3 linked regions of the Diceros bicornis minor genome follow. The protein of the gene in region 1 interacts with the protein of each later gene in a pairwise test. Links are inferred from orthologs where the notes say so. Each region holds a gene or a part of one and is shown on either strand. Other genes may lie near its edges.

Region 1 (10,614 bases):
GGAATACGGGTTTAGCTGTTTTCTGTGAATTTTCCATCAACACCTTCTTGTAAGATCAAGAAAGTGCCAGCATAAGAACCTGGAGTATGGCTGTATTAGTTTTCTATTGTATAACAAGTTACCACAAATTTAGCAGTTTAAAGCAACACCCATTTGTTATCTTACAGTTCTGTAGGTCAGAAGTCCATGCAGGGCTCATCTGATTAGGTTAGGCCCAACCAGAATAATCTCCCTCTTGATTAACCCAACTGATTAGAGATCTTAATTACATCTGCAGTAATCCCTTTGCCATAAAGAGATATGAGTGACACCCTCTAATATCCACAGGTCCAGCTCATGCTTAAAAGGAGGGGATTATACAAGGCATTTACACAAGGTGGTGGGAATCTTGGTGGTCATCTTAGAATTCTGCCTATCGCAATGGCTTTTAGCAGCTTGAAATAGAATCCTGGAGATAACAATGATGCATTCTTAGGAAATGCTGCATTACCAGTATTCTTTGTGGCCCAAGAATAATTCTGTGTGGAAAAACCTGCACATCTATGAGCTAAAAGGAGATTCAGCAAGATCCACCAATGTATGCTAAAATTAGTGGACTAAAGTTTAAACAGAAAAAAGATACTTGCATAGTCTCTGTGTTAGTTTCCTAGGGTTGCCATAACAAATTACCACAAACTGGATGGCTTTAAACAACAGAAATTTATTCTCTCAGTTCTGGAAGCTAGACATTTGAAATCAAGGTGTTGGCAAGGTTTGTTCCTTCTGGAGGCTCTCAGGGAGAATGTATTCCATGCTGCTCTTCTAGCTCTGGCAGTTCTTGGCATTCCTTGACTTCTAGATGCATCACTGCAATCTCTGCCTCAGTCTTCACATGGTGTTCTCCTTGTATGTCTCTGTCTGTGTCCAAATTTCCCTCTTCTAAGGACATTAGTTGTTGGATTAGGGTTTACCCTACTCCAGTATGACTTCATTTTAACTTGATTACATCTGCAAAGACCTTATTTCCAGATAAGCTCCCATTCTGAGGTTGCAGGTAGACATGACTTTTGAGAGACAATATTCAATCAAGTATGGTCCCAAAGTATCTCCCCCCAAATATTTAGTAATTATAAAGGGAAAAATAGTAATTTTACTATGAAGAATCCTGGAGGACACCACTTTAAGCAATTAAGTTAAACATCACTAATAATACACTTCAACATCATCTACCCCCTGATATGATGCAATGAGAAGGGTACATCACCTGTCACATTCTTACAAATAATGCATAACCTCAATCTAATCAAGGGAAACAGACAAAACCAAATTGAGGGATGTTTACAAAATAACTGACCAATACTGTTCCAAAGCTTCCAGGTCATGAAAGACAAGGAAAGACTGAGGAACTGTCACAGAGTGAAGGAGACTAAGGACATATAACAACTAAATGCAGCGTGGGATTCTGGATTTGATTCTGGAAGAGAAAATGGATATTAGAGAAAAAACTGGTGAACCCCAAATTAACTTTGTAATTTAGTTAATATTATTGTGTCAATGTTAACTTCCTAGTTTTGAAAATTGTTCTATGGTTAGGTAAGATTAACATAATGGGAAACTGAGTGAAGGGTTTATGGGAACTCTCTGTACTATTTTTCTAATTCTTTTGTAAGTCTAAAATTATCTCAAAACAAATATGCATTCCCCTGATTATTAATGCTGCTGAGTATAATTTCAAATGTTTATTTGCCTGTACAGGTTTTAATATAGACATTCAAGTGGTTTCCCCCATTTTTCTTTTCTTTGACTTTTTATTGATATGTATTAATTTAGTATATATTCGTGATACTAATACATTGTCAGTTTTATATGTTGCAAATATGTATTCTCCTAGTCTGTTGTTTTTTATTTATTTTTTTTGCTGCCTCTTGATGAATGGAATTTTTTAAATATGGTCAAATTTATTACTGAAAAGAAAGATGGTGATAGTGGTTCTTTTACTTTAGAAATACTTTAGAAATATCTTTTGTCAGGTGGTAACATTTGAGCTGAAACCTGAATGATGAGAAAGTGCCATATATGTGATGATTTGGGGAAAGAGCATTCCATGCAGAGGCAATAGTAAATGCAAGGGTTCTGAAGTAGGAACAAACTTGCAGTGTTGGAAGAACCAAAAGGGCAGTGGAATTGAGTCACAGTGAACCAGGGGCTAGAGACTTAGTGGGGACTAGGTCATTTAGGGCCTTGTGGGTCATGGTAAAAGAGTTTGGATTTTATTCTAAGTGCAATTGGTTTGCATCGACATCTAATTTAAGTTTATTAAAATATTCTTTTGCTCCACCCTTCCCTCCGGCTGAATCGTAGAACTAAAATGTTATGGTGATTACGTAGCATGTCCACATAATTCTTCCATTAAATGCAATGTTGATATTTTAAAGGAACGCATACAAAGCTTTTGCATTATTCTTATTTAAATAATATTTTAGGGGCCAGCCCGGTGGCGCAAGCGGTTAAGTGCGCGCCCTCCGCTGCGGCGGCCCGGGGTTCGCTGGTTCGGATCCCAGGGCCCACTGACGCGCTGCTTGGTAAGCCATGCTGTGGCAGCGTCCCATATAAAGTGGAGGAAGATAGGCACAGATGTTAGCCCAGGGCCGTCTTCCTCAGCAAAAAAAGAGGAGGATTGGCGGATGTTAGCTCAGGGCTGATCTCCTCACAAAAAATAAATAAATAAATTAATTAATTAATTAAAAAAAGGTAAAAAAAATAATAATAATATTTTATTACATAATTATTCTTATTATATTATTCTTATTTATATAATGCATTTTAACTGTTTGAGGGCTTGTAATGCAAAAAAGTTGTAGATTGTAGGGTTCTAGGACTAAATCTTAATTTTTTACATTCTACGGAAATAATTATTCTTTATAAAAGTTTGCTCTAAATTGTGTTTTCCTGTTCTGAAATCTTGAATGTAGATCCCTTTAACATCCACTATTACCATAATTTTATAAAAGAAGTTCTCTTTAACTTCCCTAAATAGGAAGGATCTAATATCAGAGAAAAAACAGTCCTTAAAATCTTGAATAAATTTAGCCTTGTTTTTAAAAAAATCTCTACATTGACCTAATTTTTCTCATTTGACAGAGAACTGACAAAAATCTTATCCATCACTGCTCAAGATAACCTTATAAATGTGTAAAGGATGCTTGCTTTTGATTCTCAAAAAGACTCCAGAGAAATGTGCTTATTGATCATTGTAGAGAAAAAAAAACACACAACCATAATCAATTTCATTGTCTATTTAAGTTTCTCAGAGAAGAAAAATAAGAATGATAAATAACCAAAAATAATATATACAATTTTTTTGTTCTGATGGTTATTCCTTAATAGACTAAATATCTTCCCAAAATCCATGACTACCCTGTTGTATAGAAGATGGTTTCCCAAATCACTTCACAAGTTTCTGCTTTAATTAACTTCAGTTTAAAAAAAATAAACATAGGGGCTGCCCCCATGGTGCAGCCTTTAAGTGCACGCGCTCCGTTGCTGGCGACCCGGGGTTTGGATCCAGGGCTTGCACCGATGCACTGCTTGTCAGTCCATGCTGTGGCGGTGTCCCATATAAAAAAGGGAGGAAGATGGGCACAGATGTTAGCCCAGGGCCAGTCTTCCTCGGCAAAAAGAGGAGGATTGGCATGGATGTTAGCTCAGGGCTGATCTTCCTCACAAAAAAAAAAAAAAAAAAAAACATAAAAAGATATCTACAGTGTTTTGTTTTTTTATTTGACTTCAAAATTAATCTGAAAAAGATTATTGCCTTAAAATGTAGTGATCTAAAAATGAAACCTACCTCTAATTATGAGTACTTGTAGAAATAAATCATTTAAACCAGTGATTTAAATCAAATTACTCCATCTTTTACTTTCTTTAATGCACTGGAAGCTAAAACGTATGCTTCTGGGTTTGTACATATTTGCATTTTGTGCTAAATGTAAATTGATACTAATTATGGATTAAGAAGGAATTTAAAGGCAATTGAGACATTCAGAATGAGGATGATAAAATGGTTATCTGATTTAAAAAGGTCTTTAGAAGCTATGTGTAATGGTAGAAATCAAGACTATTCTTTCTTATTAATAGGAACTGTATTTATAGAATTTAGTGAGACTACCATTTCTTACATTTCCCATTGCTGTGATATTTGAGAATGTGTGCTCTTAGACCTAATTCTACTTTTAGCCCAGCTTCACATGACCTTGTTTCTAGTGCAAGAGCCCAGGGCAGTTTCTCTGTGACAGCAGATTAGAACATGCAGACTAGATCTTAAATTCTCACTTGGACAAAGGAAACAAAACAGCTGGTTTGATATGTTTACATTCTGTACTTCTCCAACAGAACATTCCTATTTCTAACAACTTCTTACACTGTTGTTCAGTGCTATTCATTCAACAAGCTTTTGAGCGTTGTGTATGCCAGGCACTGTTTGGAACCAGGGATGCAAAGATGAATGTCACAGACCCTGCCCTAAAGTATCACTAGCTAGTGTAAACTAATAATTACAATAGAGTGAGCTGTTAAAGCATTGAAAGTGAAGCAAGTATCCGTGCCTAGGAAAGCGTGGGAAGGCATCAAAGAGAACAAACAGGCAGCTTGGAGGTGGTATGGGACTGGACCAAAAGCAACAGAGGTGGAAAGAAACTCGAACATCAGAAGAGGATACTGCCTCCTCTTAGAAGTCAAGACGATTTGCTCAGAATTGGAGGTTATATAGTCTCTTAACACTGTGCACCCTTCCTTCATTGCACTTATTTCAATGTGTATGTTTAGATTTGTTTTTGTGATTATTGAATGATGCTAGACTGAAAGTTCCTTGAGGACAGAACCGTGTCCGTTTGTCTTAACCAGTGTATACACCCCAGCATGACACACAGGAGATGCTGAATAAATATGTGTTCAAAGCGAAAATTAAGTGGATGGGAGAGTTCTCAGGAGCATGACTGGTCATTATTTATCCAATACTATCAAGTAAGAGAGCCAGAGAATCTGACAAAAGCATTCCTCTCACCAGAGGGGACTACTCTATTGTTTGGCAACGGATAATTCATTGAACTTTTCTGTGGCTAGAATTAACCACTTTCTTCCTTTCCTCTTATAAGCCCCGTTGGATGAATCATTCATTTGCCCTGATTTCAACCTTTTGGTTACTGATTCAGCCTCTTTGATTACCTGATACACTATGAATATCTTCTGGTAACTAGAAAGGTCAGCTGAAGGAGTTCGTTTTCGGGTTTTTTTTTTTTTTTTTTATGATTATGCTGCCTTGCTCACTGTTGTCCGTCTGCTGCAAGCAATATAGTCTCTGGGAGACACACTTAAGACTTCCAAATTACCCTGCTAAAAACCTGACTCTATACTAATGAAAATTCCAGTCTAATGGAGCAGACAAGGGAAAGACAGCGTGCGCTGTGAGAAGAAACTGGGTTTGGGAGCTTCTGGATTACCGCTGGGAAAAGAGAAAATCCTTTCTATGACATTCCTAAATATGCCCTCCAAATTGTTCGCCCTCAAGATTTACCCTGGTCTCGCCGCTTAAAGCAAATGCAGGTTTGCAAAGATCAGTGACGCCAAAGTCACCCGCCGCCCCGCCCCTTGCGTCCCAGCGGAGTCAGTAAACACCGACCTTGCTTCCGCAGCTCACAAGGGAGTGAAAAGTAGAGGAACGTACCCACCTTCCCGGTTGTGGTTAAGCGCAGCGCGCTGGTTGGCGTCACTCAACCCTCGTGCGCAAGCGTATTAGGAGTCCACCACCCCCCCGCCCCTTTCCTGTGCACGCGCTTGGAGCTCGCAACTCTCGCGAGAGAAGCGAGATTTATTCCTACGTACCGGGCCGTGCTGCTTATGGCGGCGCTGGAGAGGGGGCGCTGAGCTGTTGGGGTGAGTACGACCTCAGGGTGCAATTGGGGGTAGCAAGAAGCCAGACTAAGGGCGAATGAGAAGACCAAGACTAACGGGAGAGACTTCTGAGTCAAGGTGGGCACTCCTAGAGCTTCGGGTAGGAAACATCTCACCCTGAGTCCCTACCCTGGACTTTTCCACTCAGTCCCCGCTCAACTGCTTAGGCCTCACGTCAGGCCGCAGAGCCGAAGCGAAAAGTCGAGGCTGGCGGCCGCGTGTCGCGGTGGTGGTGGTGACTAAAGTGGGGGGAGGGAGCAAAAATGGAGGCTCCGACCGCAGCCAAGATGGAGGCAGGGGTGCGGGGCTCGGGCGCCGAGGCTGCTGGGAGTTGTAGTCTGGCTGCTTCCTCCTTTGCGGCTTGGCGGGGGAAACGGGAACTACAAGTCCCGGCGGGCGGGGCGAGGGGGTGGTGGCGCGGTCCTTTGTGTGAGGGTGGAAGAGGCAGAGGAGAGGGGCCTACTCTGACTTTGGACCCTATAGTTTCCTGTCCGTCACCTGCTTGGGGATCTGACTACGAGTACCAGAGCGCAGTGCGGTAGTGGCACCTCCTTTGTGTATAGGCAGACCCGGTTTCATCTAAGGGCTTAGAGACACGGCCTTTCCCTGGCCGCATCTGACACAGCGCGGCTGAATTGTCATCCTTACTTGCACTCACCTAAAGCTGCCTGTTTTGGGTGTCTACACCCAACCTTCCCTTTTTCGCCTCCCCTTGGTCTTGAGAAAGGGAACCAGCGCCTAATCTTAGGCATGTAGCTCTCACTCATCTGTCCTGGGGTTAGGGCGTGCTCTGAGAGCTAAGTGAAGTTCTCCTTACCACCTTCTCTGCCTCTTATGGTGTAAGAGCCTGGCCCACATTGTGCAATGAACGACTTGGCTTCGTCATTCTCTGTGGAGTTACTTTTTTAGAGCCCTGGTCCGAGATACTGTTGAGATTTTTACCATCCGATGTTTTATCAGTACGAAATCTTAGTACCACTGTTCTTTGGCTTTAAGATTTTCCTTTAGAAACACCCAGCTGGCTCCTCTCTCGACTCGCAAGTGAGGCAGGGAACGCTCCCTAAAACAGCCTTCAATCTGCAAACATAAAAATCTGAACGTTGTTGTGCGAGGTAATTTCCTTGTTTTGCACCTAAATTGAGTGAAAGGATGTGATCCTCTTTACAGTTAAGAGGACTGGGTGGAGAGGGAGGGAGGATGGTCAAAGGCACTGTGGTAGTTAAATCTGTTTCCTTTGAGAGGCTTAGTTTTTTATCAGGATGGTATGAACTGGCAGCTCTCAGCCAGAGCTACCAGTCGATAAAATCAAATAGTAGGTATCAAATTATAGCCCACTGATAGAAGTTATTCTATATCAAAACGCTGAGTAATTTTCATTTGGAGTTTCCAGAAGGCAAGCATTCTCGATACTAATTGACTACATTGAGGGGCAGTATAATAATACCTTAGTGTCCTTTTGGTACTAATACTAACCAATAATGGGTGTTCTTGGTGTGGGTAAGGAGGGGTTTTATATACATGCTTGAAAAGGCATATGCCTGAGTCAAAAAGTCTAGATAAATATTTCAACCTTGTTTCTTTTTGTTTCCTTTTAGCCCTAGGCCCGAAATAAAAGAGATGGTAGTGGTTTGAGTGATTTTGCAGCTGCTCTGGATGTTTACCATCGAGATGAGTATTTATAGCAGCTGAGTTGAAAAGTAAAGTATTTGAGGCGCAGAAGATAGGTTTTCTTTTTTTGTAAATAAGTTCTGACTTAACAGGTATGACTTTTAGAGTGTGGTTGAAAATTCTGGTAAATTTCTAGCAAATCAAAAATAAGAGTGTGAAAGCTGACATGTAGTCCTGCTTTATCCCACTCCTGTTTCCCTGCCTCCATCTGAAGACACACAGTGCAGGGCCATCCAACATTTTAAAAAATCTTTCTTTTAAATTGTGGTACATAAAATTTACCATTTTTAACTTGTTTTAAGTGTACGGTTCAGTGGCATTAAGTTCATTCACATTGTTGTGAAGACCATACTTTTGAGATGGTAGTTGAAACGTGAAAATGCTGTGGACATATTTTTAAGGAGTTGAATTTTAGGACTGTAAATAAATAAAAATCTTGATTTTGTTAAATAAACACAAAGAATTAATATGCCTTCATAGCTTTGTCTTTTCAAAAAACAAAGGGGAAACTACTTTGAGATCTTGGACTCAAACTGTCTTATGGAGAGCTGTAAAACTTTTAGGATTAATAGAGAATTAGAGTAAGAAGAATTATAACTATATTTTCTAAGGCTTAATAGCTAGAATTCACTGGTGAAACTGCTGTAGTGGGAGTGACTTGGTTTCTTGAATCCCATCATTTCTTGCTGTAAAATCCCTTCTGCCAAATCAAGATTTTAAAAAATTCCTGTCTTGATATTAGAATGTTTTCCACTTGCATGTGAGTACCTGGTTAAAAAAGAAAACAATACAAAACTTTTTTTCAGTTCATAACACCAAGCCTTAGGAATTCTTACATGTTTATACTGTGCTACATTTTTCATTAAACTAGGTATGGTATTCTAAGTATTCTGTTCAGAAGTATTGAATGGTAATTTTATTTTGGGGTCATTTTTATATTTAATAGGTTCTTTTATGCTGAGGTAAAACATTAGTGGGTAGTTGAAAATAAATTTATCAGCAGTTTCTTTACATTGAACACGTAGGCTAGCAGCTACAGCCAGTACATAACCAGTTAGTTATTTGAACTTCTGCTTCTCAAATGTAGTAAGTACAAGCTCCAGCTATAGTCAAGTGTGCTAGATACTGCCTCCTTTTATCAGTGCAAGTCTTTCCCCAAGGGCCTTATATTTACTATGCTTTATTGAGCATGCGTTTTTTCCTCATCAGTCTGTACCTGCTCCAGCCAATATGGTAGCCACTAGACATGTGTGGCTGTTGTGCGCTTGAACTGTGCACAATTCTGAATTGAAATGTGCTGTAATTGTAAGGTAAACATTGGATTTCAAGGAATGTAAAAAATCTCAATTTTTTTAGATTGAATACATGTGGAAAATGATAACATTTTGGGTATATTTGGTTAAATAAGATAACTTAATTAAAATTAGTTTCACCTGTATCTTTTCACTTTACTATGATTACTAGAAAATTGTAAAGTACATATATGGCTTGCACTGTGTTTCTTTTGGACAGTGCTAGTCTATACTATTCTCTGATTTTGTGTCTAGAGCATTTCTTCAGCTTCTTCCCACACTGGCATTTGTCCTATTTCAAAGTATTAGTGTGTGTAAACGCACTTAAGTGATGGATGGATATATAATTTTAAATATCTTAGTAGCTGTTCAGGTAATTAACAGCCCAGCACAATTGTTATTACTAAACATATACAAAAAGTTGCAGCAATTTGCTTTTCTTTTGCTTTTCTTTTATTTCTGCTCAACATGGCGATGGCTTAAATGGTTTCAAGTTGGTTAATTATCAAACTTTTATCATTTTCCTTAGATCCTAGAGTAAAAGTGAATTAAAACCTGTGAAGCACTTCAGTTATATGGGTTAAAGCAAAATGTGATATATTTGCCTCGAGTTAATGCATCAAGAAATAGGAACTAGGATGTTAAGGCAAGGATATTATTCATATAAATCAACAATAAAGAGAGAACCATTTCAGTTCCATGCTGCCTTTCTGGGTCTTTGCTCTTCTCAAAGGAAGAAGGTACTCTCTGAGGAAAGTGGGTTAAGTGGGGAGACTTTTGTAGACTGGTTTAGCCTTTCATTAACATTCTCCCCAAGTGAGTGCTGTACAAACTTTGAGAATAATTTATCAAAATGATAAAATGGAATATGTAATACATTTTAGATGGATTACTGACTACATAAATGTATTAGTTCAACATGTAGTAGTAATTTAGTGCCTACTTACACCTGACTTCTGCTACGCCTTTGAGATGAAGCGGCGAACTGGAGGAAGACAGTAAATAAAACAGGTGATGATAATTTTGAGACAGGTGAAATAAGGAGTAGCTATTTGGATCAGTTCAAGTAAAGGAATTAGCTTTAACTCCTAAAACAGCATGACTTAATAGTTGATAATTAATGGTGATACTGTTTCCATACAGAGTAAAGGAAAAAAGAGTTGATTACTTCGCAATCAGAGAGACTTTGAGATCCACGTTTAAATCGTTCCTTAGTTTTTTGATTGGTACTCTGTATTTCATCTGACTTTAAAAGTGTCTAGCTTTTGGGAAGATGGAGGGGATGCACTTACATTCAGAGGGTTAAGACAAAAGAAGTTGTCGGTACCATCCATGAATGTTAATAATCTTGGCTTGAGTAGATAGTCAATTTTATTAAAATGCCTAATCCTCGGTACCTTTTAGGTAATTCATTAGGTGTTGAATTGATTGAAAAACATTGGTCAACCATAGAAATCTTGAAGCTACTAATGAAACGGAATTCAGCACTGTCAATTATTCATAATAGTTGGTGGGTTTGTTTGAGCTTTAATAGATCCTAATAGGTTTCATTATTGCCCAAGATTGGCCCTGCAGTGCTCCAGATTTTAGATTCTGAAAGTCTCTTATTTCTGTGTTACTAAGTAACAAACCTGACAGTTCTTATAACATAATACCACACCCTAAACTGAGTTAATCCAGTTCAAGTTTTTCAAAATAAGTTTTTTTCCCCCCATAATACACAGTA
Region 2 (10,213 bases), on another chromosome or scaffold:
CTTTCACTTAGTCACTCATTTCTTCAGTAACATTGATTTGGCACTCGTGCTAGGCCAGGTCCCTATGCAGGACGCTGAGGACACCTGCGGGATAAAGCGCAGCCCTGTCCTCGAGGGGCCCCAGGCGCACAGATGAGAGCCACAGGTGGACTAGTGGGTGTTATGGAGCCTGGGCTGAGGATGGATAGGGGAGGAAGAACCTCTGAGAGGATGACACCCAAGCCAGTGGGTCTGAGACGTGGAGCCAGCCAGGAAAGCAGGTGAGGGTCAGGCACACCAAGCAGAGGTGACAGCATGAGCAAAGGCGCAAAAGTGACAAAGCCCAGCACGTGTGCGAGAAAACCTCAGGCAGCTCCTGATTCTGGAATAAGAAGGGTAAAGCAGGAAATGGAGGAGATGGGGCCGGAAGGACTGGCAGGGGCTGAATTTGAGTCATTCATTCATTCATTCATTCAATAATTTATGGAGAGATGGCTCTAGCCAAGCACTGTGCTAGGCTCTGGGGACAGGGCTGAGATCCAGACATTGTCCCTGTCTTCACTGAGGCCACATGGGCATGCGGCTCAGGGGCCAGCGGGAGACAGATATCAATCAAGTGGTTGCATAAGGAACCTCCCCATCCTTGCTGCACAGCAGGTGTTCAAGCAGAAGGAATGGCCTGAGGCCCGGGGCTGCGTGCCAGGGTGAAGGAAGTACCAGTTGGCTCCCGTAGGGTGAGCAGGGGTGGAAAGGGGCGCCTGCGGGAAGCCGGGGCAGCGGCAGGGGGCTAGGTCATGGCTGGCTCAGGAAAGCAGACTCTATTGCAGACTGTGGGGAGCCACAGGAGGGCTTTGAGTAGGAGAGGGACAGAGGCAGCTCTGCGGGAGAGCTGGCTGTGGGGGCACAGGGGGGAAGTGGGAGGGGAAGCGGGCAGAGCAGGCAAGTGCAATGGTTTGGTGAAGAGAGAGTGAGGAATGGGCTAAAGCAGGGCCATGAGGCTGGAGAAGGGATGAGCGTGTCAAACGCTTAGTTATGGAAGGAGAACCAGGCGGTGTTGACACCCCTTGGGCATCTTTGGGGGACCCATGAGGGCCTTCCCAGGATCCCCCACAAGCCTTGGCGCACTTTGGTCAAGTGTAGAGCACTGACAGGCTGGGGGAGGCAGGGCACCAGGCTCCAAGGGGAGACCACTCAGCTCTGGGGACTTCCCAGGGCTGGGTTTAGGGGGGACTCAGCCCTGGGGAAGCTCAGGGTGGGGAGGAAGCTGGGGAGGGGGCTGAGCCAGCATCTCATGACTCACCCACTTCCACCCAGTCAGCCCAGTGGCATCTCCGCTCCCCTGCTCCAAATTCCAATTTGGTGAGGCTGCTGGAGGATGAGTCAGCTCCGGCACGGCACGAGAGCAGTGTCCTAAGGGGCTCCCTGCCAGACACCCTGGCCTCCAACCAAGGCCAGGGCCAGGCACGGGGTTGGGGGGTGCAGAGCCAGGCTCCGAGGCTGCAGCAGCCTCAGCTGATCGGGGTGGCCCAGTGAGATCACGTGAGGGAATGTGCCTGGAGCTCCCTGTGGGTGAAGCCAGGGACCACACTCTGCCTGAGGAGGAGGCAGGGACCGGGGTGCAAGGCCTAGCTCTGCCCGACTCACCACGACTCTGAGGGAATTCCCTTCCCCTCTTGGCCTCAATTTCCTTGACCACAGAATGGGACCAACATCTCCTTTTAAAGAGGTTGTGATTAAATAATGCATAAGGAAGTGCTTTGCAAACGTTCTGTGGCCCGTGATGATTAGGGTGGTGGGAGAGGTGAGTATAAACAGGAAAGCTTCCAGGGTCACTTATGGTTGTGCAGGTTGTTCACTGCACAAGGATGTCCAGCCTAGATTTCGGAAATCCAGCCTATCTGCTGCTCACCAGACCGTGTGCCCTGGCCCAGAACTTCTAGACCAAGAGGATACCTTTCTCTAACAGGCGCCAATACACCCTGTAGGTTAGTAGTGGCCCCTCGGACTTTGCTGGGTTGAGCCCCTGGATTTATGGGAAATCACTGAGAAACTGATTCTGATTCTTAGGATGGAGGGGAAGCAGGGCTGGCTTTGCAGAGGCTCTCAGAGAAGTTCTCAGGCTTTTTTTTTTTTTTTTTTGGTGAGGAAGATCAGCCCTGAGCTAACATCCATGCCAGTCCTCCTCTTTTTGCTGAGAAAGACCAGCCCTCAGCTAACATCTATTGCCGATCCTCCTCCTTTTTTTTCCCTTTTTCTCCCCAAAGCCCCAGGAGATAGTTGTATTTTATAGTTGCACATCCTGCTAGTTGCCGTATGTGGAACGCGGCCACAGCATGGCCCAACAAGCAGTGGGTCGGTGTGCGCCCGGGATCCGAACCTGGGCTGCCAGTAGCGGAGCACGCGCACTCAACCGCTAAGCCACGGGGCCAGCCCCTCTCAAGCTTGGCAGTGAGGAGTATCTTATTATTGGGGGATGTTAGGGGGGCCCCATCAGAGCAAAGGGGCAGTCTCTCCTGGCCCTGCGTCTCTCCAGCAACCAAAGCAAGTAACCACCAACACAGTATTTTAAAAAACACTCAAGACACAGACCCAATCTGGGTTTTATTGAAATGCCAGGAGCAGGCACATGACAAGGTAGTGAAGGAAGGGAGAAAGGTGGTGCAGGCTGTGAGGGGGCAGGGAGGGACAGGCCCCATGTCCATGGCCCGGGCATCTTCTCTCTCTGCCCAGGGCTGAGTGGGCACACTCATCCCCCCAACAAAATGGCATGCTCAGGCCTGCAGGGCCTCTGCCTGCTGGTCTGTGAAGGCTCCAAGGAGAGAGACTGGAAGCCCTAAGTCTTTTCTCTTGTGAGGGAGGAAGAGAAAAAGGGGAAGATGCAGGAGAGGGGGGAGGTACAGCCAGGGATGAGGGCAGCCAAGGAAGGCTCTCCTCCTGGGGGTCTGCACCCAGCCTGCGGTCCTCGATGGCAGAGGGGAGCAGCAGCGAAAAGAGAGGCTGAGGGTCCGGCCCTCAGGGAGCCAGAGCCTCCAGGGAGCCAGAGCCTCCAGCCGGTGGGGACTTGAGTCAGCCCTGAACAGAGGGCAGAAGTTCAAGGGGATTGAAGATGCAGACAGTTCCCGAGTGACCTAGTCCTCAGAGCTGGGGGACTTGGCCTCCTTGGGACAAGGAAGACGGGAGGATCCATCCCTGGCAGGGAGGGCAGAGAGTGGTCTCCCCTACTTGGCCCTACTAGGTCAGTTCCACGTTGTTGGCGCGGTCCAGCACACGGGAGCCGCGGGCACTGCCCCCCAGCTGGAAACGGCTCTCATAGAGCGTGGGGCAGAGGTGCCAGCGGTTGGCCCGGTAGATGCCCAGGTAGGTGTAGACGTCAGGCTTGTAGGTGAGCAGGCACTTAATGCCTGCTGCACGGATGGCTGCATCGGCCTCCAGCACACCCAAGCGGTCCGTGAAGTCGTCCGTGTAAACACAGATGACCTGGCGCCCACCCTCCCTGGCCCGTGGGCTCACCTTGGCCACCTGAAGCCGGCCCTCGACCACGGCCCGGGCAATGCCGGCCCAGGCGTGGTCCAGCTTGAAGCCAGGTGCCAGGTGCATCAGCCACTTGCCCGAGAGCACGTGGTGGGTGATGGCCAGCTGGCGCAGGGTACCTGGCGTGATGGGCCGCCCGCTGGTCTGCAGAGCTTCCCAGGCTGCCTGCAGGCCCTGCACGTCGCCTGAATTGGGGACGTAGCCCTGCCCATATGCTGCAATCCAGCCCACGGGCTCCGAGTTGGGCGAGCCAGGGTCGCCATAGCGGGTAACTTGGGATGGCGGGTACTTGGCCAACCAGGCATCCAGCTCTGAGGCAGGTGTGGTGCGGGCATCAAACACCAACCAGGGGTCCATGTCAGCTGCCATGGCCTCCGCGGCCAGATGCTCAGCAGTGAAGCCATCCTCCCGGCCGCCTGGAGAGTCCTCCTCCTCCAGCTCCTCACCTGGCTCCATCCTGAAGCGAGGGAACCGAGTTAGGGCAGGTCCAAGACAGATCTACAGCTTACTGGGCCCTAGAAGGGTGCTAGGCACTAAACTAAGCTGTGTGGCTTTGGGCAAGACTTAATGTCACCGTTCCTCTGTTGCTTCATCTTTAAAATAAGTAACAACTGTTCCTGCCTTGTAGAGCTGTTGAGAATTAAATGCCTGACGCGGAACACGAGCTACGTAAGTGTTGTTGCTAATGTTATCACTACTGTCCCTGACTTACAGATAGGAAACTGAAGCTCAGAGAGAAGGGACTTACCCAAGGTCACACCTGTAGAGAGTGACAGGGCCATAATGTGCATTCAGGTGTGGAAGCAGCCGGCCCAGCCACACCTCCTGGCCCTGCCAGTCACTGGCAGGTCCCCGAGCGCCGGGATTTAATGGAGGGAGGAAGACAGGCGCGCAATCGCGCAGCACTGGGGCAGGCCCTGCAGGGCCAGGCCTCCCGGGGGGGTGTCATCGGGCCTATTTAAAAACCAGGACATTGAAGCCCAGAAAGGGCTGTGACGGGTCCGAGGCCAGTGGGGCGGTGCCCGGACTCGAACCCAGGCTGGTGGGAACCTGCGGGAGGGCCAGCCGCCGGCCAGCCGCGCCCGCCGCCATTAGCGCCCACGGCCCGAGCTACGCTCCCGCCCGGCCCTGCCCCCTCCCGCCGCCCAGCCGTCACCTCCGGCCTTCGCTGCGCTCGGCGCCGGCCCAGCCCCGGGCCCGGCTCCGCTCCTGCCGGGGCTCCGCGCCGCCGCCGCCGCCGCGCCCCGCCCCCGCCACGGCTGCCGCCGCCGCCGCCATCTTAGCGCCTCGCCGCCTCAACAACAACTTTATAGACAAGCGCAGCGCGGGGCGGGGCCCCCGGGCCGGATCGGCCGCGCCGCGGGGCGGGGCCGACGAGGGAAGGGGCGGGGCAGGTGGGGGCGGGGCTGACCCCGGGGGCGGGGCCGTCAGGGAGCCCGGGGAGGGGCGGGCCTGCGTGGGCGGGGCTAACGTTCGCTCTCCTGGCCTTGGGCGCGGGTGGGAGTGGCGGCCCTGTCCCGGACCGACGTGCACCGCCCGGGAGGCTATAAGGGGAGGGCACTCGAGCCCTGGGAGCGGCGTCTTGACTGGCGGCGCTAGGACCCCGTGGGGAGCGGCAGGGGCGGAGCAGGCGGCGCCAGGACCCGGGGGAACCGCGGCGGGCGGGCGGCGAGCAGGCCCCGGGGCCGGGAGGCTGCGGGCGGCGGCGCTGGGCCCGGCGCGGCGAGAGAGTCCCCGAGATGCCGAGCAAGAAGAAGAAGTACAACGCCCGGTTCCCGCCGGTGAGCACGTGGCCGGGCCCGGGAGGAGCGGCCGGGCTCTCGTGAGGCTTGTGCCCAGGCCCCGCTGGGGGGGCGGGCGCTTCGCGCTGTTCGGGGGCCCGGACGCCCCGCCCCCTTCCGTGCCCTCCCCGCGTCCGTGCCCCCCTCCCCCCTTCTCCTGGGATACCCCCCTCGCTCGCCCCCAGCACCCCTTTCTGGGTCGGAGGCCACGGGGTCCGAGCTCTCTCCCTTCCCCAGGCGCGGATCAAGAAGATCATGCAGACAGACGAAGAGATTGGGAAGGTGGCGGCGGCTGTGCCTGTCATCATCTGTATCCTGTTGGGGGCTGGTTGGGTTGAGGGACGTGGGAGAGGGAGGCAGCCCGGGGTCGCCTGTGTGGGCTGGGGACCCCCCTAGCTGCGTTCTCCTTGACACCCCTCAGCCCGGGCACTCGAGCTCTTCCTGGAGTCGCTATTGAAGAAGGCCTGCCAGGTGACCCAGTCCCGAAATGCCAAGACCATGACCACATCCCACCTGTGAGTGGCTGCGGAGCTGAGAGGGCTGAGTGGGGCCGTGCCCCAGGAGTTCACACAGTTAGGGGCGGCTGCGTTCTTATAGTGAGGGAGGTGGGAGGCTGCTGGGAAACCAGCCAGGCCTCCAAGACTGGTGGGTTTGAACTGGGGGAGGAGGAGTTGGGTGTTCCAGCAAAGCGGGGGAGGTCGGGTGGTGGAGATGGGGTGGAGGCTTTCCAGGCTCTGTTCTCCTGACATCCAGAGCCTCTTACTGTCCCTTGCTGAGGACCCAGACATCTGGGCCCCACCTGAGTGTCATCCCCTCCCCATCTCTTCCAGGAAACAGTGCATTGAGCTGGAGCAGCAGTTTGACTTCTTAAAGGACCTGGTGGCATCTGTGCCTGACATGCAGGGGGACGGGGAAGACAACCACATGGATGGGGACAAGAGTGCCCGCAGGTGGGGACCGAGGGCCAGTGTGCAGGTGGAGAAGGCCAAGGCCACCAGGGTTGGGGGTGGCTGGGGGGTGATGAATGGGGGGGTGACCTCTGGGCAGATGGACTGTACCTTCTCGAAGGGGCCGGAAGCCAGGCAGCAGTGGCCGGAAGAACGGTGGGATGGGAAGCAAAGGCAAGGATAAGAAGCTGTCGGGGACAGACTCGGAGCAGGAGGTGAGTGAGGCCCCCAGCCCTCTGTCTCGTAGTGTGCAGAGGGCAGGCTTGTCTCAGGCCGGGCTGGCTGGAGCCTGGTTCCATCCTCACCTCTTATCTCTTTGTACCTTGGTTTTGTTGTTTATAAATTGGGACTATGGAGGTCACCCTCCTGTCCCTGCTACTCTCAGGGGTTTGTGCTTTCCAGTGATGAGTCCATGCCTTTCATGTCACTTCTCATCCCTACCTTGCTACCAGGATGAGTCTGAGGACACAGACACCGATGGGGAAGAGGACACACCGCAGGCCCCACCCCAGGCCAGCCACCCCCCCGCCCACTTACAGAGGTAAGCAGCTCAGTGGGCGCCAGGAAAGGGCCAGCAGACTCCCCAAGGCTGACTTGTCCCTCCTGGCCTCCATGACCACTTGGATCTATTGGTTGTGGCAGATTTGGGGCATGGGAAGGGAGAAACTGAGGAGGGCTTAAAGGTAGGAGACTGTGCTCTCCGAAGGTCCCTTCCACTCTTGGGCGGGGCAGTGGATGGGGCCTGGGCAGGGACTGTGTGACCTGCTTTGGGCCCTTCCCTTCTCTGGGCTTGGCTCCCTATTGGTACCGAGGGCGGTGGGCTCCATGCTGCCCGTGTGGAGGGCAGGGGGTGGCTTAGGGGTCAGGAATGAGCAGTGGCCTGACCTTCCTCTCCTGTTTTCTGCCTAGCAGCCCCCCGACACCCTTCATGCCCTTTGCCTCAACTCTGCCTCTGCCCCCAGTGCCCCCAGGCCCCTCAGCACCTGATGCAGAGGATGAAGAGGATTATGACTCCTAGCGCCCTCTGCCCCCCAGGCCACACCCCTTTTTAGTTGGTTTTGGTTGTTCTGGGGGGAAGAGAGAAGGTAGAACTGTTCTTAAATTTATTAAAAAAAAGAAATAAAAGGGAATGCCAGTGTTTGTCCCAGCCTCTGTCTAGGGCTTTGTGGCCACCTTGCCATCTTTTCACCTGCCTTCTCCACACTGAGCTGGGGCCAGGAGTGGTGGTGGGCCAGGCAGCAGCAGAGTGAAGGGAGGGGCTTTACGTCACAGTTATGCCAGGGCAGGCCCAGTGGTGCTGAGGGAAGGAAGGCGGGCAGGGTGGTGTAGGGCCTGAGCCAGCAGGTACCCATTATGCCGGGAGACAACCTGTTTCATCGTGCTGTGTGACCCTGGGCAGGTTCCTACCCTTCTCTGAGCAGCCTCCTCGCATCTCTCTGATGGAGACCATTCTGTCCCTGCTAGGCTGCTGCAGAGGGATAGATGCGACAGGTAACAGAACAGGTCTTGAAAACTAGAACTTGGGCCAGGTGCCACGAAGGGTGTGAGAAGGGGCACTGGGAGCAGAGGTGGGCGAGATTGTGGAGGGCCTTGAAGGCTGGCTCACGAGAGAGCAGTGACACAGCACCACACCGGCTGTGGCCACTGTGAGTGGTGCAGGTGGGTTGTGATTCCAGCCGGCTAATCAGCCAGGACGCTCAAGCCCTGGGACTTAAGGTGGGACCTTTGGGGACCGGTTTTGACAAGGTTGCTGGCTTTCCCATGGCTCGGGTGGCAGCAGGGACCCTCTAGGAGTCCAAGCAAGGATGATGGCTGCCACACTGGGTAGCGAAGCTGGTGGAATGTAGGCCAGACGCAACTGGAAGCCACAAGTGGTGATCCTGACTGCGAACAAAACCAGCACAGCGGAGCCAGGAGGCTCAGAGGCCCAGATTTCTGGTGACATCTGAACACCTGGACCCGGTCTTGCCGGAAGCCTGTATACCTCAGACTTCTTAGTCCTGTGAGCCAATAAACATTTTTCCCTGCCGGAAGCCAGTTGGGTTTCTGTCACTGGTAACTGAAGAAGCTGCGGCTGACAGGGACCGTGAATGGGAGGGGTTCCCATCGGCCCGGAAGCGGGAGGTAGTTTTCTCTAGCAGCAAGTCGTGTGCAGTCCCAGGGGAGGCAGACTCCTGGGGTCCACAGAGCTGAGGGCATGCTAGTGGGGGTGAGGAGCTGGGGTAAGAGAGGAAGAGAGCCTGGGAGCCTGTTGCTGGGCTCTGTCCAAAGGGTGAGATCCTGAACTGAGAAGGTTCAGAGTGAGGAGGCTGGGTGAGAGTGAGGAGGACGATTGGGGAAGGCCAGGAGGCCACGGTGCAGGGAGTAGCCCCTTTCATCTAGGCAGAGGCTCGAGGAGGTGTGGGTGGGGGTGGGAGATGCCCAGGAGCCCCTGGCCTCTGCCTCTGCATTCTCAGCCTGTTGGCTCACCCTTGGCAGGGTGCTTACGAGTGGAACTTCTGGAGCCAGGCCCCGGGTTTAAATCCTAGCTTCTGCACTTACTGGCCTCAAACAAGTTCTGTAGCTTCTCGATGTCTCAGTTTTTCCATCTGTAAATGGGACTAGTTATTACCTATAGTTATACATGCTATGCTGTATATACTAGTTATACCTATTAGTTAAGGCAAGGGCCTGATGTAAAACTCAAACTGTTTAGGCTCAAGTGCAGAGGAATTTTCTTGCTCATATAAGGTTTATATTGGGATTTATCTGATTAGTGGGTGGTGCTTCTGCAAGAGGGACGCCAGGGCCCAGGCTCCTTCCATCTTGTGGCTCCACCATCCTCAACCTATGACTTTCAGGATCACTGAGGAAGGGGAAAGCTCAGAGCCTATGGAGGTTTTTCTGGGCCAGGACTAGAAGTGGCCCCATCACCTTTGTTCACCTCCCACTGGAACTGCCACAGGACCCACCTGAGGGAGGCTGGGGAAGGTCCTCTAGCCAACCTGAGTGACCGACCAGCCAGTTTCGGCCATAGGACCTCATAGGCCGTTAGGGAGGACCTGACCCAGCTTTCACCAAGTGTTAGGAGTGCAGCCTCCTGAGTCAGAGGTTAGGGGCCCCAGGGAGACGGTGCTTCTGGCTGGGCCAGGCCCCTGGGTGCTTCCTGGGAGTCGGGAAAGATGGTTCTGCCCTGCCCGTGGGCACCACTGGGCACCGGGAGGGAAGCCTGTCAGTACCCCATCTGCAGAGCTCTACCTGGGAACCAGAAGGTTTTCTTTGTTTATTCTCTATCCACTGAGGAGCCTTGAGCCTCGGGCCAGGTCCTGTCTGAATGCCTCAGCCTGGCCTTGGCTGTACCCTGGGGTGTAAGTGTGACCAGTGGGTAGAATGGGAAGCAGCTTCTGAGGCCAGTGTAGCATCCAGAGACTGAGACCTTCAGGTGAAGGGTATGGGCCCACCCATCCCTGCCAAGAGGAGAGTCTCCCTCCATAGTCCCCCTAAGGATTCATTCAGCAAATGCTTATTGGGCACCCAACATCGTCCCTCAGCAGGGAAATGAGTTGCCACAATCACCCACCAGAAGCCTGAAATGAAAAAGTCTGAGATCGCCAAGTGCGGAGAGGAGGTGGCAAGGCCAGACCTCAGTGCTGGTGGGAACGTCACGAGGTGCAACCGTGTTAGAAAACAGTGGGGCGGTTTCTCCTTGAGTCTATTAACACGTACTTCCCTGTGACACAGCAGTGCTGCTCCTAGGCATACGTCCACCAAAAGACACGTACAAGAATGGCCACAGCCTCCCACTGGAAACAACCCAAATGCCTGTCAACAAGAGCACGAATAAATGGTAGGGTATTGTACAACAGAACAATGAAAAAGGGCGAACCACTGTTACACGCAACATCGTGGGTGAATCTTGGAGACCTTATGTTGAGCAAACGAAGCCAAACACAAAGAGCACACACCGTGACGTAATTCATTTAAATCAAGTTCAGG
Region 3 (9,847 bases), on another chromosome or scaffold:
AAGATCTTACCTAAACACACCTACATGCATGCACACATGCACACACACACAGTTGTATTTCCTATCCCCACGACACAACCCTGCCATATCTTCTTTGCCTTTGCTCAGACTTTCCCCCTTCCCAGCATGCCCACCCCTTCTAACACATTTCAAAGTCCCACCAATCCTATTGAGACAACATGCCATAAACACACTTATGCCTTCTGAATCATACAGACAGCCATACAGGAAACCAGTTTGAATCATAAACTCCACTTCGAGAAACGCTTCCTCAGGAAAGGATCAGAGATGTGCATGTATGAGGATGTTTACTGAAGCGTTATTGTTGATAACAGTGAAAAGTTGGAGTCAACCTAAATAACCAACAATCGGGAATGCTTAAAAAGTAAGGCACATTCATGCGCTGGAATATTATGCAGCTATCAGAAGCACATTTTCAAAGAATATTAATGAATCGAAAATGCTCACAGTAAAATGCTATGTGAAAAAGACAAGATATAAAACTAACTATAGGATGATCACAATTCTGTGTAAATTACATAGTAACAAAAGCCGAGAAGAAAATGACAGCATGTTAACAGCAATTATCTCTCCCAGTAGTTTTCTTTTTCTTTATATTTTTCTGTAAGCGCATGTAGTACTATTTTTTTTCTTTGAATGTTCATCTGTTGAGGGGCCAGGGTGTCCGAGGCACTGTTACCCTTCTGAATAGCACTTTCTGCAAGAGACCTACCCAGCTTGCTCCAATCAACCCAGCCTTCTCCCTTCTCTGAAAGGCCTGATAACAGGGCCTGCTACCACCACAAATCCACACATAACGTGCACTACTCTTATCATCAGAAAAAAATACATATCTTGTTAAAAAATAATTCTGTTCTCTGAAGCTACTTCTTCAAAGAAGTTTCCCAGAGCTCTGGATTGCCGGGCTTAGAACCCTACTCTCCACCCCACTCAGTCAATCATCGTAGCCCCTGGCTCCAAGGGTCAGCGCACTTGCCTCCAGGCCCCATTAGTCCACCAGCCCCTCTGCCCTGACCTTGCAGTTAAGACATACGGCAGGGCCGGCCCCGTGGCTTAGCGGTTAAGTACACGCGCTCCGCTACTGGCGGCCCGGGTTCGGATCCCGGGCGCACGGATGCACCGCTTCTCAGGCCATGCTGAGGCCGCGTCCCACATACAGCAACTAGAAGGATGTGCAACTATGACATACAACTATCTACTGGGGCTTTGGGGGAAAAAATAAATAAATAAATAAAATTATTTAAAAAAAAAAAAAGACATACGGCAGATGCTCAGCCAATGTTTGTTCAGCTATAGGCTGTAATTAATCCTAGAGACCCCTTCAGCCTGGTCACTGGGCAGGGCTGAGCACCAGTGAGGTGCGTAAGGCTGGGGCCGAAAGCCTCACTAAGGCCCAGGTACACCCTGGCCCACTCCCCAAGCAATGCCCCCTCCGAGCTACAGGCAGCACGTGGCCATGGCCCGCAGCACAGGCCTGGCACCAGGGCCTGCTCAGTCCCAGAACTGGTAGAGCCAGTTAGCAGGGGGAAAGGAACAAAGGCCAAAGGAGGGGCCCTGGGGCTGGGGTTTGCTGGCCCTCAGGCCCACAGCCAGGACAGCCTTCAACACTCACTGGGTCCAGGGGTACCACACCCAGTGTGGGGGGCTGGGGTGGGGAAGGACATCCCAGAAAACACGCAGAGCCCCCCCAACCCTGGGAAGCTCTCATCTCTGATACTTTCCCCACCTCCCAGGTAGCCACTATCCCCTTAAAGGGGCAGAAACTTGACCGAGCACCAAGTAGACTTGACCTCGAACCTAGTTCATCAGGCAAGTGTCACCTAGGGACTGAATTTGAAACGAGGACAGAGACTTAGGAGGGAACTTAGTGGGACCAGGTTAGCCCAGCCAGGAAGCAGAGGAAAATCCCTGCTATGGGAGCTGGCCTTGAACTTCAAGAATGGCGACTTTCACCTCCCTCACCCCGAACTCGGGCCTCCCCTCCTGGTCCCACTGTGGCTCCACACTTCAATTTGGTGACCATTACCTGACCATACCAGGCTAGTCTGATGCTACAGGTATTGGCCAGGGTCACTGGAGCCCCTTAGGCTTCTGAGGGGAGGGACATGGCTTAGTTCCTGCCTCAGTTACCCCAGCTGGGCTCCACCCAACCCAAGGAAGTTTCCAAAATCTAAGCCAGTTTCTTTGAAAAGAGTATTTTTGCTGGAGGCGGCAGGCCCATGCTGCCAGGGGCATAGGGACTGAGCTATCCCCAGGGAAAACTCAGATATGCTTACCCCAGCTTTGCAGGATACGCTCAGTCCAGACCCCCCCACCAGCCTGGGGGACCAGCTGCATCTTTTGAACCTCTCTGGGGAGAGGAGGGAAGGACTAGCAGTGCTCTAGCCTGCTAAGGGTGACCTGTTCTGGAGGACCGTGTCACCACAGCATTCACACACACATACACGTGCACATGTAATGTAAACAGGGACCACCAGGCCTCCTCTGGCCCAGGGCAGAGAATCTCCAAACAGGCAGCATGGAGGAGAGGGGCCCAGGTCCAGGAATGTACCCCCTCCAGAGCCCCACCCACCCTGAGAAATGCTCAGGAAACACAGTCAAAGCTGCTGGCCCTCAGGACCAGGGTCAGGCCTAGTCCAGGGCAGGAAGAAAACAGGATGCAGAGCAGGAAGGCGGGGAAGGCCGAGCAGTGGCAGCTCAGGCCCAGGCCACGGGAAAAGGTGCTGGGTTGGCTTCTCTGCTGCCCAGAGCAAAAATCTGTGTTCACAGCACAGCCTCTGAGGGCCTGGGATTGGAGGACACCCTGGGGACAACTGGCCTCATTCTCCTTGGGGACAGCAAGTGGTAAGGTCTGGAATGACCATCTGGGATCTGGTGGTCACTTCCAAGTTGCCCGAGCCAGAGCACTACACAGTTGCCCACTACACAGAGCCCAAGGCTTCAGCCCCTGAGAGTCTCTCTCTCCAGGCAGCCCAGGCCCCCTCCCACCTGCAGGGCCCCAGTGCTCTCCGGAGGGAGATCCAGGCTGGTCTCTGGCTCCAGTCCTGTCCCAAACCAACTCATTGTCCTCAGCTGGGAAATGGGACAGCACTGTCTCAGTCAGCTCTGTCATAGGACTGCAGCCAGGGAAAGACAGAGGCACACTGTATTTTGGGGAGGGGGCTGGAGCAGGGAGGAATCTAGTCCACCCAGACCTTTTGCGACTCAGCTGAGCTAGTCCTGCTGGCCCAGCAAAGGACCCTGGCTGCTGAGCCAACAGCCCATAGCTCATTTCACTAACAAGGTGTTTCCCTCCCCAAGTAGGTAAACCTGGGAGCCTCCCCTCCCTCCTCTCCTGTGGCTCCACATTGAGAGCTGGCCCACCTGCCACCCACAGACCTAGAAGTCCAAAGAAAGCCAAGTGCCAGAACTAACCAGGAGCCATGGGGGAAGTGGCGAGAAGCAACATCTGGTTTCTATGAAACGCCTCTCAGCCGGGGCTGGACTCAGCAGAGGCCCTGGGCATTTGGGTATCTCTCGTGGGAAGGAGAGAGTGTGGTCTGGCCTCTGAAGCTATGACCAGCTGGCTGTGGGGAGATGGCTCCCTCAACCCCACTCTAACTGTCAAGAGCAAAGGGAGCTGGGGGTGGTGGGGGTGGGGGTGGGGAGTGGTAAGAGGAAGGTCCCAGATGACAGCAGGTCCTGACTCCCTTGGAAGTGAGGGATCCAGGGAGTCAGGGCTGGGCATCTCCCAGGCCAGAGCGGCCTGGTTCAAGGGGTGAGGAGAGAAGGGGTGGGCAGGGAAGCAGCCCTGCTGGGGCCATGTCCTGTGTGTTGGGGGCAAAGAAGTAGCCTCTGTGCCACTTGTGGACTGAAGGGGATGTGCAAGCATGGATTAGGCTTAAAGACACCCCTAAACCCCACACCAGCCAGTCAAGGGCAAACTGGAGGGTTCTTAGCCCTGACCTGGAGAAGAGAGGGTACCCACAAACACAGCCATCCCCACCGCTGGACCACAGAGAAGGAGCCTCCTGGAGCAGTGGTCCCCATCTGGGAAACTGGACTCCATGGGCCTAAGAACAAGTCCCCTTGCCAGGCTGCAGTGCTGTCCCCCACTCTTTGCATGTACCCAGGAAGACCTGGGCCTTCTCTGGCTGTGGGCATCAACCTGGGCCCAGACAGGCCGCTGCCGCCGCGTACCAGCTGTTTCCCGGACCCAGGCGGGCGCTGTCCCGGCTTTGTTTGCATTGAGTCAGCCGGGTCTGTGCGTCCCGGACCAGCGGGCACAGAGGGGCAGAGAGAGGGACAGGGAGGTGGCTGGGTGAGTGGGGGCGGGGAAGGCTGGAGATGCGAGGCTTAAGGGGCAGAGGGGGGCGTGCAGGACAGAGGGCGGACAGCAGCGACGTTGGCTCAGGGAGTAGGCACACGTCGGCCTAAGGTGGCAGCAGCGGCTGCGGGGAGAGGGATGTTCCCGGGAGAGGAGGCTGGGGGTGGGGGGCTAGGGGATGGAGCCCTGGGATACAGGCCAAGGGCTCCCGCTCCGGCCCTGGCTTCAGCGTCACCCTGGGGCCAGCCGGTCCCTCCAAGACCGGACAAGCCAAGTTGGCGCAGCCCCCCGGCCCTGCCCAGCCCCCAGCCCGGCAGGTGGGTGAGGAAGCCGGGGCCCCGGGCGCACCTGCGTCTTGGTGGTGAGCTGGATCACCGCCTTTCGGAAGTTCAGCTTGGAGTCGGCCGACCCCATATCGTTGGAGCCCGCTCCGGCCCCGACCCCCGCCCCAGCCCGGGCTCGGGATCCAGCTCCAGCTCCAGCTCCAGCTCCAGCTCCAGCTGCAGCTCCAGCTCCGAGGTCCCCGCTGCTCTCGCATGAGCAGAGCGGCGCACCCCGCCCGCCGGCCCAGCGTCGGCCCCGCCCTCCTGGCCCCGCCCCCGCGTGGCTCCGCCCTCCGCACCTGCCGCGCCCCGCCCAGTCCACTCCCTGCGCGGGAGTCTGCAGCTCGCGTCAAGGCAGCAGGGCACCCCCCCGCCCTTCTCGGCCGGACCCGGTGGCTCCGTGCCCTTCCTCCTGTGTCGGAGCTTTGCCTCCGCTCCATCCCTTCCATTTCCACCCAGCCCCCAGGGCCGGCAATCCCCCCACCCTCCCGCCCCTTGCCCCTATCCTCACCCTTCCTCCCGACCATCGCTGGGCCCGCAGCTTCTCAGCCAGCCCTCTCCCTCCTTGTCAATGCCTGTCCTCCTCATTCTTTTTTTTTTTTTTCTTCTGAGCATCTGCTCTCTTGGTTTCCCTTTTTCTGACCAGTCAAACCCACATGTCCAGGCAGCCTCGCTGTTATTCCAGCCACAAGCCCCGGGCTCAGCCCTCCTTTCTGTGGAAGGGAGGCGCTGACTCAGGGCCCCTGCTCCAGGAAAGCGGCTCCCTGGCCTGATGAGAACGGAAGGTCCCTCCGCGTCCTACAACTCCTTTCTGGCCGCCTGCCTTCCCTGAGAATCCTTTTAGGTCCATCCATTTCAACACATGTGTTGAGGGACTGGTATTCACCAGCGCTGTGTCAGAGACTGGGGGCCTAGGGGGCTTAAGTCACAGGGCCTGCCCTTTACAAGCAATTAGCTATGGAGAGAAACAAGGAAAGAATCAGCCATGATTCAACCCAGTGAGCCTTTGATAGAGGCTAATTAATAATAATATAATTATTATTATTATTATTATTATGTGACGGCAATACCTCTGAGGTAGGTATTATCCCCATCTTACACTCGGGGAACCTGAAGCTCAAAACAGTTAGGTTATTTGTCCAAAGTCACACAACTAGTAAGGAACAAAGCCCAAAAGGCAAATCTAACTCTGGCCCCAAAAGAGGCTGCACTTTTCCCACAACATCATCTTGCATACTATGTCTGGAAGCTTCTGGAAATCCTAGATGCTTCAAAAGTACTTGACATTTAGCTTCAATAGGAATTCCACAGGTGAAAAATGAAGCGTGCACCATCTAGGCAGCAAAAGGGTGGCACAAAGGCAGGGTAGGACAGGTGTAGAGGTAGGGAAGAGGGGGACAGAGATTTCACCACGTCACCAAAGGAGCTCTGTCCTTGCTCCAGAGGTAGGTTTTCCCTGCCCTGGATGAAATCCTGGGCAGGCTCCATGGCTTCTCTAATCACTCTGAGATAACGAATGAATAGTACTTTTATTTGGCATTAAAAAACAAAAAATCCAACACTCTACAAATCACCCAACCCCAGTCCAACCCAGAGTGACATTAAAAACTCTGAATCTTAAACATTAGGGAGATGCAAATTCAAACCACAAAATGATAACCATTACATACCTATTAGAATGGGTTAAAAAAAATAAAACCTGAAAGTACCAGATACTGGCAAGGACGGGGAGCATTTATACTTTCTTATGAAGTTAAATATACAATTACCATATGACTCAGTAATCCCACTCGTGGTATTTACCCAGGAGAAATGAAGACATATATCCACACAGAAAGCCTGTGTAATGCTTATAGCAATTTCATTCATAATCACCAAAAACTGGAAACAACCCAAATGTCCATCATCTGGTAAATAAACAGATTGTGGTTCATCCATACAAGAGGACTAATACTCAGCAACAAAAAGGAAGAAACTATTGATATACGCAGCAACAGTGTGAATGAATCTCAAAAGCATTGTGCCAGACACAGAAGGCAACATACTGTATTTTATCATTTATGTGATATTCTGGAAAAGGCAAAACAATGGGGCAGGAAACAGGTCAGTGGTGGCCATGGGCTGGGATCAAGATGAGGGGATGGATTATGAAAGGGTACGAGGAAACTGTTTGGGGTGATGAAAACATTCTGTGTTTTGATTGCAGTAGTAGTTCCATAACTATATGTTTGTCAAAGCTCATGTAACAGTATACCTAAAATGGGTGAATTTTACTGTATGTAAATTATAGCTCAATAAACTTGACTTTGGAAAAAAACAAAAACCAAGAGCAGGTGCTAACTGGCCATTCCAAAGGAGTAATTCTGAGCCCTTTGTTCTTGCCCATCACTCATAGCCATTTCTGTGATTTGCAACCAGAAACTCCAAGTGGTCCCAAAATATTACCGGTCCCTCATGGACCTTGCTTTCCATCAGCTTTCATGGGATGAATTTAAACGAGTCCATTCATCCTCATCCAACCTCAAGAGGTCTGCTCCCATTCATTGGGCATTCAGCTCCTCGGAAAATCTTAGTGTCCGTCTCCAGGAAATCTTACAAGATCCCTGTGCCCTCTCTCCACCATAGTAGGGAAAAAATATTAACATTGTCTTGAGGAATGTGACCACTAACACTTCTAGGTGGAAAAATACCCATTTATCCCCACCATTTGTTTACTGTCTCTAAGTTAAACTTAACATCCTCCCTGATTCACAAATGATGTTTTCAAAATGCTGTTAGTTATTTTTCGGTGAGGCATACTGAAGTGTGTAGAGGGAAAATGGCCTAATGACTGGGATTTGCTTTAAAATACTACAGCAAAGAAAACAAGAAAAAGACATACAGGCGAGATGAAGCAAATGTGGCAGAATCCTGGTAACTGTTGAATCTGCATTGGGTATGTGCAGATTCATTGTACTATTCTCTCTACTTTTGTGTGCACTTGAAAACTTTTTTTTTTTAAAGGTAAATGCTTTTTTTTTTTTTGAGGAAGATTGGCCCTGAGCTAACATTTGTTGCTAATCTTCCTCTTTTTCTTTTTTCTCCCCAAAGCCCCAGTACATAGTTGTATATCCTAGTTGTAGGTCCTTCTAGTTCTATGTAGACCGCCGCCTCAACATGGCTTGATGAGCGGTGAACATGCCCATGCCCAGGATCCAAACCTGCAAACCCAGGGCCACCAAAGTGGAATGCACAAACTTAACTGCTGTGCCACCGGGCCGGCCCCCTGCACTTGAAAACTTTTATAGTAAAAATTTTTAAGGAAAAAGACTGGATATATACAAAAAAAAAATTAGTAGTAAAATATAGCTTTTGAAAGTTTAAAGAAATTACTTATCCCTTATTACTTTGATGATTTCCTAGTAGGTTTTTAGCTATGATTTACCATATGGAAACTATGCTGTGTCCTCCTTTTATGCCCAGCATAAAGGAAGAGTCGCCAGTCCGTGGCTCCCATGGCCCTCCCTGGAGCCCTTTTTTCTGAGTTCAACCACCAATCATGCAACAAACATTGACTCAGCACCTACCAAGGGCCAGGTACCTTGCACAGTGCTAGGACCTGAGCTAGAAAGGCAAGTTCCTACTGCTGAGAATGAGGGAGACATATAGGGCAACGACACAGGCAAGAGAGTTATGGGGTTGAGGGTGCGAGTGAGTCTGTCCAGGGCCATGGTGGGAACACGGGAGGAAAGACTGGACAGAGTAGGGGAGGCTGCACTGAGGTTTGGAGGATGACTGAGAGTATCAGTCAGGGTCCCAACAGGAAAGAGATGGAAGATTCAGACACAGCAACTAAAGAGAGTTTAATCAAGGAGAAGGGAAACCAACAAGGGCTGTGAAGCACTCTGGGGCTAGAAGCCGCGGGGAGCCTCAGCCATCCTTAAGCCTGAAGGCGCAAGGGGAGGAATGGTTGCCAGAACCCGGAGAAAAAGAGCCGGGTAGGAGAGAGCCGGTGGGGTCTGGAAGGGAGGGAGCTGTGGGGTAGATACCCCACCTCCACTCTTCTCCTGCCCCCCGATTTTCTGCTGATACTTCCCATCAGTGGGCCCACAGACAGCAAGAGAGCAAGGGAGCCCATTGATGCAGCCCACAAAAGCTTCAGCCTCCTGGGCGCGGAGCAGATGGAGAAGATGGAAAGCGATCTGAAAGGGCAAATGGAACATGTCCAACATCCAGGTAGGGGGAGCAAGCGGAAGGAAGGCCCAGAAGCTTGGTACGTCCAGAGAACAGAAACACCTAGCTAGGGTGACACGTAGAGAATCAGAGATAAAGCTTGAGAGGTGTGCTAGGACCAGACCATAAAGGACAGAATACATGCTGTTTAAGGAGATTTTATCTTATTCTATGAGCAATGAGGAGCCTTTGAAGCAGGGGAATAATGTTGTCGAATATCATTATGTCTTAACAAAGTCATTCTAGCCGTGACAGGGAAGACGCAGTGACCTGAACACTGGGAATCCAGCTGGGAGGTGAGAGATGATGAGGGCTGAACCGAGGCAGTCATGGGTGGGATGGAAAGGAAGGATGCAGGTGATGTTGGCGAGGTGGAATCTTGGAATTTGGTTGTCGGTTTGATGTGTGTTCTAGGTACTATTGCTGTGTAACAACCTCCCCACCAAACTTAGTATGAAACAATAACCATTTTTTTTAATAATTTTATTTATTTATTTTCCCCCAAAGCCCCAGTATACAGTCGTATGTCATAGCTGCACATCCTTCTAGTTGCCGTATGTGGGACTCGGCCTCAGCATGGCCGGAGAAGCGGTGCGTCGGCGCGCGCCCGGGATCTGAACCCAGGCCGCCAGCAGCAGAGCGCGTGCACTTAACCTCTAAGCCATGGGGCGGGCCCAATAACCATTTTATCGTAAATTCCATGGTTGGTAATTCAGACAGGACTCAGCTGAGGTGGCTTGTGTCTGCTCCACGATGTCTGGGGTCTCAGCTGGGAAGACTAGAATGGCTGGGGGAGGGGTTAACTTGGAACAGCTGGGAGCTGGACTCACCTGGAGGCGTCTTCACTTATATCTGGCGCCTGGGTTGGGAGGACTTGGAGGCTGGGCTCAGCTGGAGCTGAAGACGGAAGCACCAACATGGGGCCTCTGCATGTGGCTTGGGCCTCTCCCAGCAAGGACGCTGGGCTCTGAGGCAGCGTCCCAAA

The links.
Region 2: the proteins of CSDE1 (region 1) and C31H11orf68 interact in a two-hybrid assay, tested with the Homo sapiens proteins (2 studies listed by BioGRID and IntAct). The link is inferred for Diceros bicornis minor from reciprocal best matches to the Homo sapiens genes CSDE1 and C11orf68.
Region 3: the proteins of CSDE1 (region 1) and HID1 interact in binary tests that used the Homo sapiens proteins (3 or more experiments, as listed by UniProt). The two-hybrid records come from large-scale screens. The link is inferred for Diceros bicornis minor from reciprocal best matches to the Homo sapiens genes CSDE1 and HID1.

Annotation. Positions count from the first base shown.
Region 1 is NC_080743.1:47,396,873-47,407,486, reverse strand, and holds the start of CSDE1 (cold shock domain-containing protein E1), read left to right. Parts: upstream 1-5,825; 5' UTR 5,826-5,910; intron 5,911-5,982; exon of another isoform or gene 5,983-6,006; intron 6,007-10,614. UniProt on the Homo sapiens protein: RNA-binding protein involved in translationally coupled mRNA turnover.
Region 2 is NC_080770.1:7,365,589-7,375,801, reverse strand, and holds C31H11orf68 (UPF0696 protein C11orf68 homolog), read right to left. Parts: upstream 4,804-10,213; 5' UTR 4,789-4,803; coding exon 4,667-4,788; intron 4,606-4,666; exon of another isoform or gene 4,259-4,605; intron 3,968-4,258; coding exon 3,211-3,967; 3' UTR 2,564-3,210; downstream 1-2,563. Other genes in the region: DRAP1 (dr1-associated corepressor), read left to right, coding at 5,250-5,291, 5,529-5,601, 5,713-5,806, 6,122-6,241, 6,339-6,453, 6,691-6,779, 7,151-7,256.
Region 3 is NC_080757.1:55,536,952-55,546,798, forward strand, and holds the start of HID1 (protein HID1), read right to left. Parts: upstream 4,852-9,847; 5' UTR 4,742-4,851; coding exon 4,676-4,741; intron 1-4,675. UniProt on the Homo sapiens protein: May play an important role in the development of cancers in a broad range of tissues.